Arabidopsis thaliana: one gene and its partners. The protein of the gene in region 3 interacts with the protein of the main gene of each other region in a pairwise test. Each region holds a gene or a part of one and is shown on either strand. Other genes may lie near its edges.

Evidence for each region.
Region 1: the proteins of LSD1 (region 3) and AT5G08520 interact in binary tests that used the Arabidopsis thaliana proteins (3 or more experiments, as listed by UniProt).
Region 2: the proteins of LSD1 (region 3) and NF-YC8 interact in binary tests that used the Arabidopsis thaliana proteins (3 or more experiments, as listed by UniProt).

The regions. Positions count from the first base shown.
Region 1 is NC_003076.8:2,754,566-2,760,393, reverse strand, and holds AT5G08520 (Duplicated homeodomain-like superfamily protein), read left to right. Parts: upstream 1-1,853; 5' UTR 1,854-2,652; coding exon 2,653-3,029; intron 3,030-4,404; coding exon 4,405-4,924; 3' UTR 4,925-5,250; downstream 5,251-5,828. Other genes in the region: CI51 (51 kDa subunit of complex I), read left to right, coding at 1-546; AT5G08510 (Pentatricopeptide repeat (PPR) superfamily protein), read right to left, coding at 5,663-5,828. UniProt on the Arabidopsis thaliana protein: Transcription activator that coordinates abscisic acid (ABA) biosynthesis and signaling-related genes via binding to the specific promoter motif 5'-(A/T)AACCAT-3'. Represses ABA-mediated salt (e.g. NaCl and KCl) stress tolerance.
Region 2 is NC_003076.8:9,940,091-9,943,227, forward strand, and holds NF-YC8 (nuclear factor Y, subunit C8), read right to left. Parts: upstream 1,358-3,137; 5' UTR 1,210-1,357; coding exon 646-1,209; 3' UTR 579-645; downstream 1-578. Other genes in the region: AT5G27920 (F-box family protein), read right to left, coding at 1,973-2,218, 2,306-2,600, 2,683-2,812, 2,909-3,137. UniProt on the Arabidopsis thaliana protein: Stimulates the transcription of various genes by recognizing and binding to a CCAAT motif in promoters.
Region 3 is NC_003075.7:11,002,940-11,007,513, reverse strand, and holds LSD1 (LSD1 zinc finger family protein), read right to left. Parts: upstream 2,998-4,574; 5' UTR 2,800-2,997; intron 2,680-2,799; 5' UTR 2,618-2,679; exon of another isoform or gene 2,503-2,617; coding exon of another isoform or gene 2,488-2,502; coding exon 2,364-2,487; intron 2,275-2,363; coding exon 2,170-2,274; intron 2,085-2,169; coding exon 2,053-2,084; intron 1,958-2,052; coding exon 1,912-1,957; intron 1,681-1,911; coding exon 1,541-1,680; coding exon of another isoform or gene 1,520-1,540; exon of another isoform or gene 1,441-1,519; coding exon 1,369-1,440; intron 1,277-1,368; coding exon 1,205-1,276; intron 1,118-1,204; coding exon 1,076-1,117; 3' UTR 726-1,075; downstream 1-725. Other genes in the region: AT4G20390 (Uncharacterized protein family (UPF0497)), read right to left, coding at 20-143, 235-446; TSF (PEBP (phosphatidylethanolamine-binding protein) family protein), read left to right, coding at 4,549-4,574.

The sequences.
Region 1 (5,828 bases), on a different chromosome or scaffold from region 3:
AACAAGCCATGCACGGTGGAAGAGGAGATGAGTATACCTCTCAAGGAACTGATTGAGAGGCATTGTGGAGGTGTTAGGGGTGGATGGGACAATCTACTTGCTATCATCCCTGGTGGTTCATCTGTTCCTCTGATCCCTAAGAACATTTGCGAGGATGTGCTGATGGATTTCGATGCGCTCAAGGCTGTCCAATCAGGGTTAGGAACTGCAGCAGTCATTGTGATGGATAAATCAACCGATGTTGTGGATGCAATTGCAAGGCTCTCTTACTTCTACAAGCATGAAAGCTGTGGGCAGTGCACTCCTTGCAGAGAGGGAACAGGTTGGCTTTGGATGATCATGGAGAGAATGAAAGTTGGCAATGCAAAGCTGGAAGAGATTGATATGCTGCAGGAGGTAACCAAACAGATCGAAGGACACACAATCTGTGCATTGGGTGATGCAGCTGCATGGCCTGTGCAAGGTCTGATAAGACACTTTAGGCCAGAGCTCGAGAGAAGGATCAGGGAACGCGCTGAAAGGGAGTTGCTACAGGCTGCTGCTTAAGTACCTTGTTAACCAGAGGTTTGCATCTCCAGTCCTTGCTCTTTTAATCTTCTGTTGCAAACTTAAAAGCTGAGGTCTAGAGTTTACGCAGCCTTTTAGAATGTATTTGTGACAAGGTAGACTGCTCTGTATCTAATTTCTTTGGGCATTTCAAGAACTTGAGCCGTAATGAACAGTTAGTTTCCGTAACTATCTTTCTGCTCTATCCCTGTCTTACAAAATTGATGTTTTTGCAGGGAGTTTGCTATTATTCTCCATGGAAATAAAATCTGAATGAACAACTAGTAACGGTTTTGGGATGCAAAGCTACTTCAGAAGGAGAAGAAGGTAATGTAATTTGTTTGAATGGTTAATGTTAAAACTCTCTTAAAGTTGTATCAGAAAGAGCGCGATTTGCTCTTTTGCATTACTCTACTTTCTTTATTGTTTGCTTGTTATGTTTATTCGAGTATGAAAGCACATTTTGGGAACAACCAAAGAAACCCTTTTCATGTTTGAAATAAAGAATGCTCCTTTTTGGGTTTATAAGTAGTTCACATAGCAAATAAATTATAAATCAATGTTTCTTTTTGGCATTTTCTGAAAAATATCTCTAGGATATAAATTGGTATATCATTGTTCTGTATACAACTTGATATGATAGTCCAAAATTAGTTTTTTTGGATAATGTATAACCAAAATGTGATTAGTCCCAACTTGATTTCGTAAAATCAAACAAAGTAGAAATCATCTTAAAACTATAAACTAGAAATTTCTAAATGGAATAACTTAAAGAATAAAATGAAATGGAAGTGATATATATATTCGCATTGAAATGGAGAAAGAGAGAAAAAGGAAAAGAGATAAATGAAGGCAAGGAAGACCTGTGAGGGTGATGGGGACCGGTCTGATTGGATATTATTTTTGGAGGATATTTATGGATAAGACGTCAACATCTTCCCTAACTTCTTTGTCCACCTCTCCCACCTTTTTCCCCCCTTTTCCAATTTCTTTACTTAATCGATAGAACTACTGAATCAACAAGTTGTTGTATGATGAAATTACATAATCACATATTTGCATAACTCGGAAAGTCGTCATATAGGCAATTAGCATCTTTGTTGTTTTCGATTTTCGATATGAGCTTAAGTTTGAACAATGTTTACAAATAGTTTGATATAGTATTTCATTGCCTTTTATAATCACCGTACAAATAATTATTATTCATCAATGATTGCCTCCCCAAATGTCACCAAAAGAAAAATCTAGTCACATGCGAAAGCATTATGAAAGTGAAAAAAGAAAAAACTGATATGAAATTACCAACGATGAGGAGTAGCAGTAATAAAATACATATGGCATAATTTGGTCAACAAGGAAATTCCAATATGAATTGGAAGTGTAACAAATAATAAAAGAGTCAACAATACCAAAAATAACAACAGCGGACTTGAGCTGTGAAAACTGTTGCTTATGGTTTTTATTCACTGTTTCTTTGTTTTGAACTTCCCCTTCCTTTAACAATGGCGTTTTGACCCCTCCCTATCTCTCTCTCTCTCTCTCTCAGTCTTCTGGGTTTTTCCTATTCCTCTTTCTCTCTCTCTCCTTCAAGTTGCTGCAATCCCTTGAAAACCCAATAAACCCCCAATTTTCCATTTCTCATAAAGTTCACATTTTTCCTTCTTCTTCTTCTGCCAATTCTCTGATTCCCTCGTTTCAATCTCCGTTTTGCTTTGCCTATCAGATAAATTTCTTCTTGCTTTCCTTTCTATCTCATAACGATAAGTTGAATTAATCTTTGCGTCTTAGTTCATCAGTAGAGAGAGTAGGGTTTTTTCCGCTTATTTTTAGGGAATTTCATTTTGTTGGAGGTGAGAATCTCTATTCGAGTCCCCAAGATTCTCTTTATATCCCTAGTTTAGTTGTATGGTTGGGTTTTGATTGGAATATCAAGGGGTAGTTTTTAGCTAGGTTCACTGATACTTGGAAGATCTGAGTTCTTTGGGATTCTGTTAAGTTTGTGGAGATCTAAAAGACACGAAATTTGTAGAAATCTGGTTGATATCCCAGACTTTTAGAGGGATTAGGGTAGATTCTATAGAATTTGAGGCGGGTTTGATTGGAATTATGACGGTGGAGGAAGTTAGTGATGGTTCTGTGTGGAGTAGGGAGGATGATATTGCCTTTGAGAGAGCTCTAGCCAATAATACCGATGAATCAGAGGAACGGTGGGAGAAGATTGCTGCAGACGTTCCAGGCAAAAGTGTTGAACAGATTAAAGAACATTACGAGCTTTTAGTTGAAGATGTTACTAGGATTGAATCAGGATGTGTGCCTCTTCCTGCCTATGGGTCTCCTGAAGGATCGAATGGCCATGCTGGTGATGAAGGAGCAAGTAGTAAGAAAGGAGGTAACAGTCATGCGGGAGAGTCTAACCAAGCAGGTAAATCAAAGTCCGATCAAGAACGACGAAAGGGTATCGCGTGGACAGAAGATGAGCACAGGTGAACTTTGTTTATTTTTGCTGCTAATCAGTTTCTGATTCTTCTTATTCTTTTATGATTCTTTCCAAATTATGTTTGTTCTGTGCTCCATGTCTTCATTGTGTTCTAGAACATTAATATTATTTCTCTTAAGTGACAATTTTGGTACTCTTGGGTGTCTAATTCTGTGAACCTTTAAGACATCAAGAGTTTTCAAAGTCATACTGTAGTTAGAAGCAATACCTTCACTGGAACTTTTAGGTCCTTGGTCTCCTATCTGATACTTTAAATTAAAAAAGGATGAATTGAGTTTTTTTTAGGGGGCACTGACCCGAGGTTACTCTAGAGGATGCTTGAAAGAAAAGTAGAGATTTCTTGAAGTGGTTTTAGTTTCGTGATTGTTTTAAAAGTCTCAGATGTTATTGGAATTATAACTTGGCATGGGACAGAGAAAGCTGTTCTCATAAATTCGCTTTACCTCCCTGTCCTAGTTGCTATATCATTACATCCACCATGTTAGAGATGATGGAGAGATGCTATCTAACCCCCGGGACCATTTTGACCATCTTTTTCCACCACTTGTTGAAGCTAGATGCTGTTTTACATGGTGAAACAGTCCATCCAACCTCTGTTATTGGAGGAACCCCACCTTCCTTTTAGAAAGAGACAAAAAAATCTTACTTTGAAGTTTAGTCTTCATTTTTCTCTCTTGAAGATGCAAGTGGTTTTGGGACCTTATTAGGGTAGATAAGGCGTAAAAACTAGAGTTAAGTATATAATGGTTATATTAGTGGCATATAATTAGTTACTGGACTGTTTTCTCACTTGCCAAAGATATGGGAAACTGATGTAACAGTAAAATCTATCTTTGTTGATTGAATGTTTTGCTGGGAGAGTTAAAAAAAATGCTTATCTGTCTGATTGAAACCTTTAAAAGAGATTCTTACACCATTTTTATAAACTTGTGTTTTCGCCATTATCTTGATCTACTCCCGTGTCATCTTGATAATTTGGTGGTTTACATGTGCTTTTTCGAGAAATTGGATTTTGGCGGTGATAGAAGAACCTCCTGGACAAGAAATCACGAGGTTCATTTTCAAATACGTTGTACGGGTGTTTAGAAATGTCTTTCCTGCTTAGTTAGGAGATTAAAATCCAGTGGAGAAGCAATTTAGAAGTAGGGTTCTGTATACTTGTGTGGCATTCTATCTGCAGATTAGCTGTTGAGGTAGATGCAAGACAAGACCTTACTGTGTTACCTGCAATTGGTTTTAGACTGTTTCCGTTTAGCAGTGGTTTGTGTGTTTTCATCTTTGAGACTATGGCCTGGAAGTTTCTGCCCTTTTGGTTATGCAGCGATTCTAATGAGCTGTTGTCTGTCTTTTCTATGTTACAGGTTATTTCTTCTTGGTTTGGATAAGTACGGGAAAGGTGATTGGCGTAGCATTTCTCGCAACTTTGTAGTAACAAGAACACCGACCCAAGTTGCGAGCCATGCTCAAAAGTATTTCATTCGTCTAAATTCAATGAACAAAGACAGAAGGCGATCAAGCATTCACGACATCACTAGTGTTGGCAACGCAGATGTCTCAACGCCACAAGGACCAATCACTGGTCAGAACAACAGCAATAACAACAACAACAACAACAACAACAACAGTTCTCCTGCTGTTGCTGGAGGAGGAAACAAATCAGCCAAGCAAGCCGTCTCTCAAGCACCACCTGGACCTCCTATGTATGGAACACCCGCCATAGGTCAGCCAGCAGTTGGAACACCAGTGAACCTCCCAGCTCCACCTCACATGGCTTATGGAGTTCATGCGGCTCCAGTCCCTGGCTCAGTGGTTCCTGGTGCAGCAATGAACATTGGTCAAATGCCGTACACCATGCCGCGTACACCAACGGCTCATAGGTAACTCGAAAGCACCTTTGCTGTCATAGTGCACTTTGTTTTTAGGTGTAAGAAAGAAGATGTGTAAAGGATTTAGTGAATATTCAAGCTTGTTCCTTGAGTGAGTTTTTTTTATTACTTAGTTTGTGGGGATTTTGTATGAGGTCCGAATAAGATATGAAGATGACATGATTAGTTTCCAGACTCGAGAAGCAAAAATACTCCTGTTTGTATGTGAACACAATAAAGCCTCTGTTATGAGACTTACAACAAAGCAACATTGTATATCTTGTTCTCACATTCAACAATCTCTTTGAATTATCAACTGCAACGTGCAATTCCTTATTTTGAAGTTGTAACTCATTTTGGATCTTGTATAATGATATATACTGTGACAGAAAATTCGTAGTTGAAGAAAAACAGAAGCAGATTACAAAGAATAACATAAGAAATACACAGATATTTTATAGCAAGCACACCCTCTATTAATCACATTTAGGACACATATGATATGCACCTGACATGGAATTTCAAAAGGAATAGTGAAAACCAGTGATAATATCGTCTCAATCCATGTCAGCTTTCTTCAACTATTCCGTCTCATCTCTTCGTGTTCGATCTACCTCGATATCCAACTAGTCTTCTTACTCAATGTGTACCAACGTTCATTTGATTGAACATAGGAATGTAAAGACACCAAAATCACATACAGTTTCAAAAGATTCAGTCATTGTTATTGGCAAAGTGAACAAAACATCTACTTTCATATGCATAGTTGTTCAGGCTGAAGCAAAGAATCAAAGCGACTCTTTTCCAGTTTCATTCTCCTGAAAATCTCCTCAAGAACCTGATAGATCTCATAAGATCTTGGGTGTGATTTATCTTCCACAGTAAATTTATGAACATCAACTCCAACTTCCACAAAATAG
Region 2 (3,137 bases), on a different chromosome or scaffold from region 3:
CGGTGAGAACCCTATGCAGGATACTTATGTAAGTATACATGGGAAGACATAGAAGAAGATAGAGATAGAGGGGAAAAAGAACCAAACTTTAGATCTGGCCACAATCGTTAATTTCTATGCAATTGAAGTATAAAGAGGAAGAAATAGAAGAAGATCGGCAATAAATAAACGAAAATCAATGGCTTACCTTACCAGATTCGTCGGCAAGGGGAGGATCAGAAATTAATACTTGGATTGCTAACGGCGACAAGAACGAGAAGAAGGTTTCAAGGAGACAATCAAGTTCTGGGCTTGATTGAAGAAGATGAGAGTAACCGACGGTGAACGCAATCGCCAACGACGGCGCTAGATTTTGGGAGGATATTTTGCGGTGTGAAGAAAAAACAAGATTTTTATTTTCTCATATATTACTTTTGGTGCGAGAGAATGAATATAATGTTAGCTTCTGAATATTTCAAATTTCAAACCGAGAATCATCACGCTCCCAAATAGTGTATTGTCCCCTCAATGTCTAAGGTTATACATGTAATAATACATGTGTTTCCGACAGAACATTGTATCTCATGGCTATTTCTTTAAAAAAATTAGATCCATGACTATTTACTACATATTCCCTTGAAAATACCCTAAAACGTATTCCACTTATTAGTTTCCGTCGTCACCTCCTTTTTTCCCACGCGCTTCTTCCTCCTCACCAGACACCGAGGTCCAAGCTCCAGGCCATGCCTGCATTTGTGGTTGTGGTTGGTGGATTCCAAGACTACAACAAACAGGAGTTCCAATTACCATTCCTGGAGGCAGCTCTCCATCGTCAATAGGTGGCATGGCCACAGGATCAGCAGCGGCGGCAACAGACTCTCTCTTTACCTCAATGTCATCATCAAGCAAGAAATCAAAGATAACAGTTTGAGCCACTGCGGCATCGACATTAGATTTCTGTAGCGTGACTCGTTTGCTTTCCTGAGCATGGAGCCACGAACGCATCGTGAGATCCATGATAAACATCTCACATGCTTTCGAGAGGAGGATTGGAGCCTCACTAGCTATCATAGTCACATCCGGATCATACTTCATAATCTTCTTGATACGAGTTATAGGAAGGTCGTGATTTTTGAAATCTAAGTTACCTTCCATCTCTTTTGACCAGAAACTCTTCAGTTGCTCGTTACCTTTCGGTGGCAGCTGGTTGTTGCCGTTGTTGTTCTCCATAAGATTTTTTTCTTTTTTGAAGTTTCTAGTGTTCTAGGCTTGTTATTTTTTTATTTGAAGATTTGCATATATAAAGGAAAAGCTTAAGCATAGATTAGATATGGTGGGATAGTAAGCAGGTAAACTTTTACAACAATGAATCTTAACGCATTTAGTATATTGTTAAGAATATTTAATGATATTAACATTATTTGTTTGACTAACATTATTTGGTTATTATTATAAGAAGAAAAAAGAAAGTGATTTATTTTTACTTAAAGTGTATATATTATACCAATTAATAGTGTTAGAAAAAAGAAATAAAGTAAATACAAAACTATATTTTCTCTATAAAATTGCAAGATAATTTTTTGCTGTACAAAACTTATTTTGAATTATTTAGTTAAAAAATATGTTTTCAAATGTTAAATGTGAAAGCATAATTCATATCATTGCTCGAACACAAAGGAGTTACATGTTGCATCTGATTGGTTTAGCTTTCTGTTAGACTTCAAAAACATATGATCATCAGTTCATCACATAGATCTATTACACATCAACAACTTTCTAACTAGAAATCATTACTTAAGCGTTGTCCGATCTTTTTTACCGGTTATAGCAAAATATTTTACCGCAGCAATTCACTTAAACCGATTCATTTATATGGATCCAAAACAAACCGCTACTAAAGTTTCACTGATTTTTAACATTGAGATTATAAACATCAAAAACCTACAACAGTATAAACTAACCAACACAAGAAACCGCGTTGTTCTTTATGTTTTCAGTCCCATCTAATGCGGCAACCACGAGCATGAAGCGTCTCGAGCAATTCCGATGAGAGCAAGAATCTGAGAGGTGCGAGAAGTTTAAGCTTCTTGAGCCTATTGCAACAGGCTCTTAGAGCAAACTCAAACCCTTCTACAGTCACACGGCTCAGATGAACTAAGTCAACGTCTTGAACCCGACTCAGATTGCTCATCAACATGCATAGAGCCGTATCAGACACCGAGCAATTGCACAAGTTTATCTGCCAAACAAAACACACAACACAAGAATCAAACATGTTTCCAATAGATGCTTCCAGATCTCCATCTATAAATGTTATTTTTTGTACCTGTCGTAGGTTTTTCGAGAAGTAAGCGAGCGCCCAAAAACCCGAATCATCAATATTCTCGCAGAGTTTAACGTCCAAGTAACCCAATTTCTTGCAGCCGGACGCAATGGCTGCTAAACCAACACCGGTTATATTCTTTAGCCCTCGAAGTTCGAGGTGACTTAGAAGTTCTAGCTGCCGGATTTGTTCAACCCCGGTGTCAGTTAGTTCACAGCAGTATGATAGAATGAGTCGGTTCAAGCTCTTGCAACCTCGAGATAAAGCTGCTAAACCATCATCTCCAAAACCGGCACAGCTGCACTCAAAAACCAGAAATCAGTAAGAAAACGAAACATGTCTTGCACATTTTTCATCAAGAATCCACCAAGAAAGTGTACCGGTATAGATCAAGTTCTAGAAGCTTCGAACATTTGGAACCAATATGGAAAATCCCTTTGTCTGAGATATTTGTGCAGAGTCCAAGTTTCAATCTTTGAAGATTCGAACACTTCGAGATATATTCTAGCCCTGCGGTCCCAACGGAACAAAAAACCGTAAGATACCAAAGATGACAATATCTAAAACACAAACGGAGGTTTGAGTTCACATATATCTTTCTATTACCTCTGTCATTTACACCATAACAGTCAGTAAGATCAAGTTCTTGAACAAGCATGGAGTAACATCCAAGCGATTGAAGACCTTTCTCAGTTATCAAATGACAAGACTCTAACTTTAAAGTCCCTAGATTCCGGCAAGACTGAGCTACAGCAGAGATGGCTACATCCGTCACGAATCCGCAACACGCCAGATTTAATGTTTTCAGGTTTAAGCAGTTGCGTGCAAGACTTAT
Region 3 (4,574 bases):
TGAAAACCAATGTTTATACCATGTCAAGAATGGCGATAGAGAGGAGACGAAGACCTTTGTACTCCAGTTTCCGGCTGAAAATCTGAACCACAATCATCAACAAGTTGTGGAAGCTCACCATTACATTAGCTATAACAAAGAACCTGTAAAACCAAGAATCAATGTTAATAACTCAAAAACATTTTGCTTTCAATATGTATCGAATCGATTTCGTATAGGGTTTTACTCGCTTACACAAAAGCCGGTGTGTGCTGAAACTTAGCGGTTAAAGTGGCTTTAATAGGAACAGTACCAATGGTGGCCACAACCAAGGTCTTTGTCTCTTTGTTTAGTGACATTACAATGGCTGCAGCTAAAGTAGCCATGAATGCAAATATTCTCAGCCCCAAGAGTAGTTTCCAGCTCTTTGTGGTACCACCAGCCACCACAATCTTCTCTCTGGCCATTGTTGATGCAGTGAGTGATCAAGAGAAAGTGATGAAACTTTGTGTCAGTGTTAAAGAGTATTTATATGGAAAGAGTTTGGTCTTGTTGAGAGGTTTTGTCGGATCATCTAACTTTAATGTTCTTGGAGGGTACTGACTGATTAGGTTATGGTTGTTGTGACAAGATTACTGCAAAATAGATTTCCAGATTTCAAGACTTGCTCTAAGACAAGTCTTATCTACCAAAGCTAAGACCAGTTCTTGTGACATGTAGCATATCTCATCCACGGAAGAGACAGATTTCAAACCCAAATCTTAATGATTGGTTGGTGTATCAGATTATATTCATACATACATTAACAATGCCACAAGGGCCGATGGAGTTTTAGAAGTCAACAAACAGAAGAGAAGGTCAAGTTCCATGGAGCAAAAGAATGCCAAATTATTCGAGCAAAAACCTTGTGTCTTCAACTTTGAATAAACCCCAATAATGCAGTAACAAGAGATTCTGATAAGCTTTTTCTCTTGGGTTAAAAAGGAGTCAAGAGATATATAACATACAGTTTTTCCGCGTATGTAATATGCACAAACCAAACGCAGGAATAGAGGAAGAATTTGGATTTGATCTTTAAGATCTCACTCATTCTTGATTACTTTTTGTCAGTTGTCACTCCAACAACAACATTGCTCACCTGCAATTTGTGTGTTTCAGTCACTTTGTCATATCTTCCTCTAATGTGGTAAATAAGAAGAAGAACACAGGTGATAGAAATACTCACCAACTTTCCGCTTTCATCAACGGACATGGGGTTTTCTACAACAACGGTTTGGGTCTGAGAGGGTGGTGTTGACTGTTGGTAAAATGAAAAATCGATGAACAGAGTAAGTACCAGTTCCATAAGAATATACAGAACTATTACAAATTCATAATTTGATAACTCACAGTTGATGTAGAGGGGGGACAAGCTGTTCCATTTGGCCGGTTAGTTGGGAGAGGTACCCTTCCATTGCTCATCTAAGGATGCAAAATGAATCAGAAATGAAAATTTCCAACAGAAAGATCTCTATACTTAACTCAACCATGCAGAGGTGGCTTAATAGATAGGAATAATCACATTAACGTTAGTTACGAATTGACAAACAGCGCATTTGACGGATGATGCACCGTAAGGATACATGAGGGTCGTCCGACAATGCCCACAATTGATCTGCGCAACCTGACTGGAAGGAGCATGGGCAACCTGATTGGAGTGCGCTGTCGATTTCAAAAAAGACACGCACAGATTCAGAAAACAAGCAATGTTAATGCTAGAAAAATCCAAGAAATACTAATGAACGAAGTAATCAGCAATGTTCTTAAGCAGTCATGGATAAATGATAATCATACAGCTAAATGACAACAGCTTAGACGCTAATTAAAGATAAGAATCTAATGGTAGATCAAACAAAACAATAATAAACCCTACTAGCTCTAACAAGTAGTTACCTAGTCCACCGGGACCATCTAAAAGCTTTGTTTTAAGTACTTTCAGCTGCTTTACAAATCCCAGATATTTTCAGAATTCAGATTCATATACATCTTTGGGAAAAGTGGAAATACGTTACGTAAGCATCATCTCCACAGAACAATGTTATCAAACAAAAGTGTGAAAGAAGATTCTAAAGGACTAAAAGACCTTATAAAGCAATATAATACATGGTCTTTAAAAGGATTGATATGGATGTCACGATATTATTAATATACCTGGCACAAGGTTCGTAGTTTGACAGCAAGAGCATCTTACGCTACTAGCCCCACGCGTATACATAAGCATTGTTCTACAACCACCACATATAATGTGTGCCATGTCTGTATTCAGAATCAGAACCCAAGTTATAATACAATTGCAGAGCATATTAACCTCATCCTCAATTCAAATTCAACAAAGAAATCGATACCGTGAGGTGGAGGAGGAGGAGGAACCATGTTGATAGTGTTACATAACGCACAACGCACATTAGATGCTCCTCTAGGATACATCAATAAATTCCTACAACCATGACACACCAGCTGGTCCTGCATATCTGCTACTTTCATCCAAACACACACAAATTGCTTCAAAACAAGACCCACACAGATGAAACCCTAAACATTTCACAATACTTAGTCATTGCAAGGAAGCAATTGGAGATTCAAATACCTAAAAACTCACCTGATTAACAAAAAGAGCTGATTTTGGAACGAAACCCAAATCCAATTCAAAGCCAAAAACTTCTGCATCCAAATCAAAACAAGAATTGTGTGTTGAATCAAACAAACAAACAAGGACAATGATGAGATTACAGAATTGGCGAAAATTGAAAAAAAGGAACAAACTTTGGAGCTTGTTCTTACCGATTGGAGAAGGGTAAGGAATCGAATCCAAAACCCGCGAAAGCTAGAGCGATGATATGCAGAAAATCCAATCCAAATTGAGGAGATAGACAATAGATTTCGATTTTTCTCTCTCTCTATCTCCAAAATCTCAATGCCCGGATTTATCTCTCTGTTTTTCGTAATTTACGCTTCTTTTTTTTTTACATGACGCGTAAGGGTTTTTTTCTCGGTCATAAACGCGTATATACAAACGCAGCGATTGGCTTCTGCTAATTAAATATGAATTTTTATGCCAAGCATACGTCCATAGATCAATTAATTATGGGTAAAAATATATTTTCTAATTTTCTGCAAATGGTGTAATAATATTAAATTATTTTTTGTCTACCCCTTTGAACCAATGAAAATTCTATAATATTTGTGTGTTAAATGAAAAATCGTACATGCTGCCAAACAAAAAATTCATAATAAATAAATGAAAATCGCATATAAACTTTAATCAAATGTTCTGAACATAACGTCCCACGTATGTTTTCGTTTGCTTATTCATATCGGAAGAAGAGTAATTTGCGCATTTCATATTACAAATTGGGGAAATGGACAATAAATTGGAGAGCAAAAATCATAGCCATCTAACCTCACACACTTTTCTTTTTGTTAGGTACCAGAAATATCAAGAATCACTGAGCTAATTGTATTCTCATGACTTTTTGTGGTCAGCAAATGAAACTGGTCTGCAATAGTTTTTAGAAGTCTTTATCGGTTTATTTCTCATGTGTTTTGTCAGAAATTTCTTAGAAATTTTTGTCTTCCAAACTTGGGGAACTAAATTTGTTTGGAGTGTAAGAATACACGGTTGAGCTTTTAGGTAATACACTTGTTTTTGAAAGGTATAATGAATTTTAAAAAAATTACTTTATCAACATTTAAGATTTGGAGACAATTTTGAAATCACGTTTGAAAACGAATTTTTTGGCCAATTGTTCACTTTTCTGTCGTTATTATACTTCTGTTACCTTGTGTCTATTTGTTAATTTACTTGTTTTATTTGATTTACTCCATTGTTTTAAAAGTTTTACTGGTTTGTTTTGTTAAATTGATATTTTTGATGGTATTAATTAAGTTTAGTACTACATTAAGAAAAGAAAAAAAAGAGTCTAGTACGTATGTACACACCAACCAGATATGTGAACAATTATGGCGTCAATTTATCTGGAGCATATATACTTTTATATGATGGTTTAGGTTGAAGGAGTTATTCTAAAATGCATTAACATCATACATAATCGGTGTAATGTAGTGTCCTTAACTATTTAAATGAGTGACATGTGACGCAAAATGCGTGACGTACGCAAATATGCAGCATATTATATGCTTGTGACATTATTTTAAATAGTTCATGAAGTTACAATGATAAGTCAGAATAAATTACATACTAGTGGCTAGCAAGAAACAAGTGGATGATGTATAATTTGGAATATGATTATTTCTGTTTTATACTGGTGGGTTTTGGAATAAGAATACTATAAATTTAGAAAAAAGGAAAGAAAAAAAAAACATGAATTATAAGTGATATACGTACGTTGAACGAGTTGTAGATTCTCGAAACTATACACGAAAAGACCCTGGTAATGATTTCATTGGAGAGAATAAAGCTAAATAGCTAATTATTGCAATTCCCAAAACGTTATATAAAGAATAGCAAGTAAGGGTTCATAAGGTAAGAAGCAAAACATTTGATTGAGATACTTGAGATCCAAGATAAATATGTCTTTAAGTCGTAGAGATCCTCT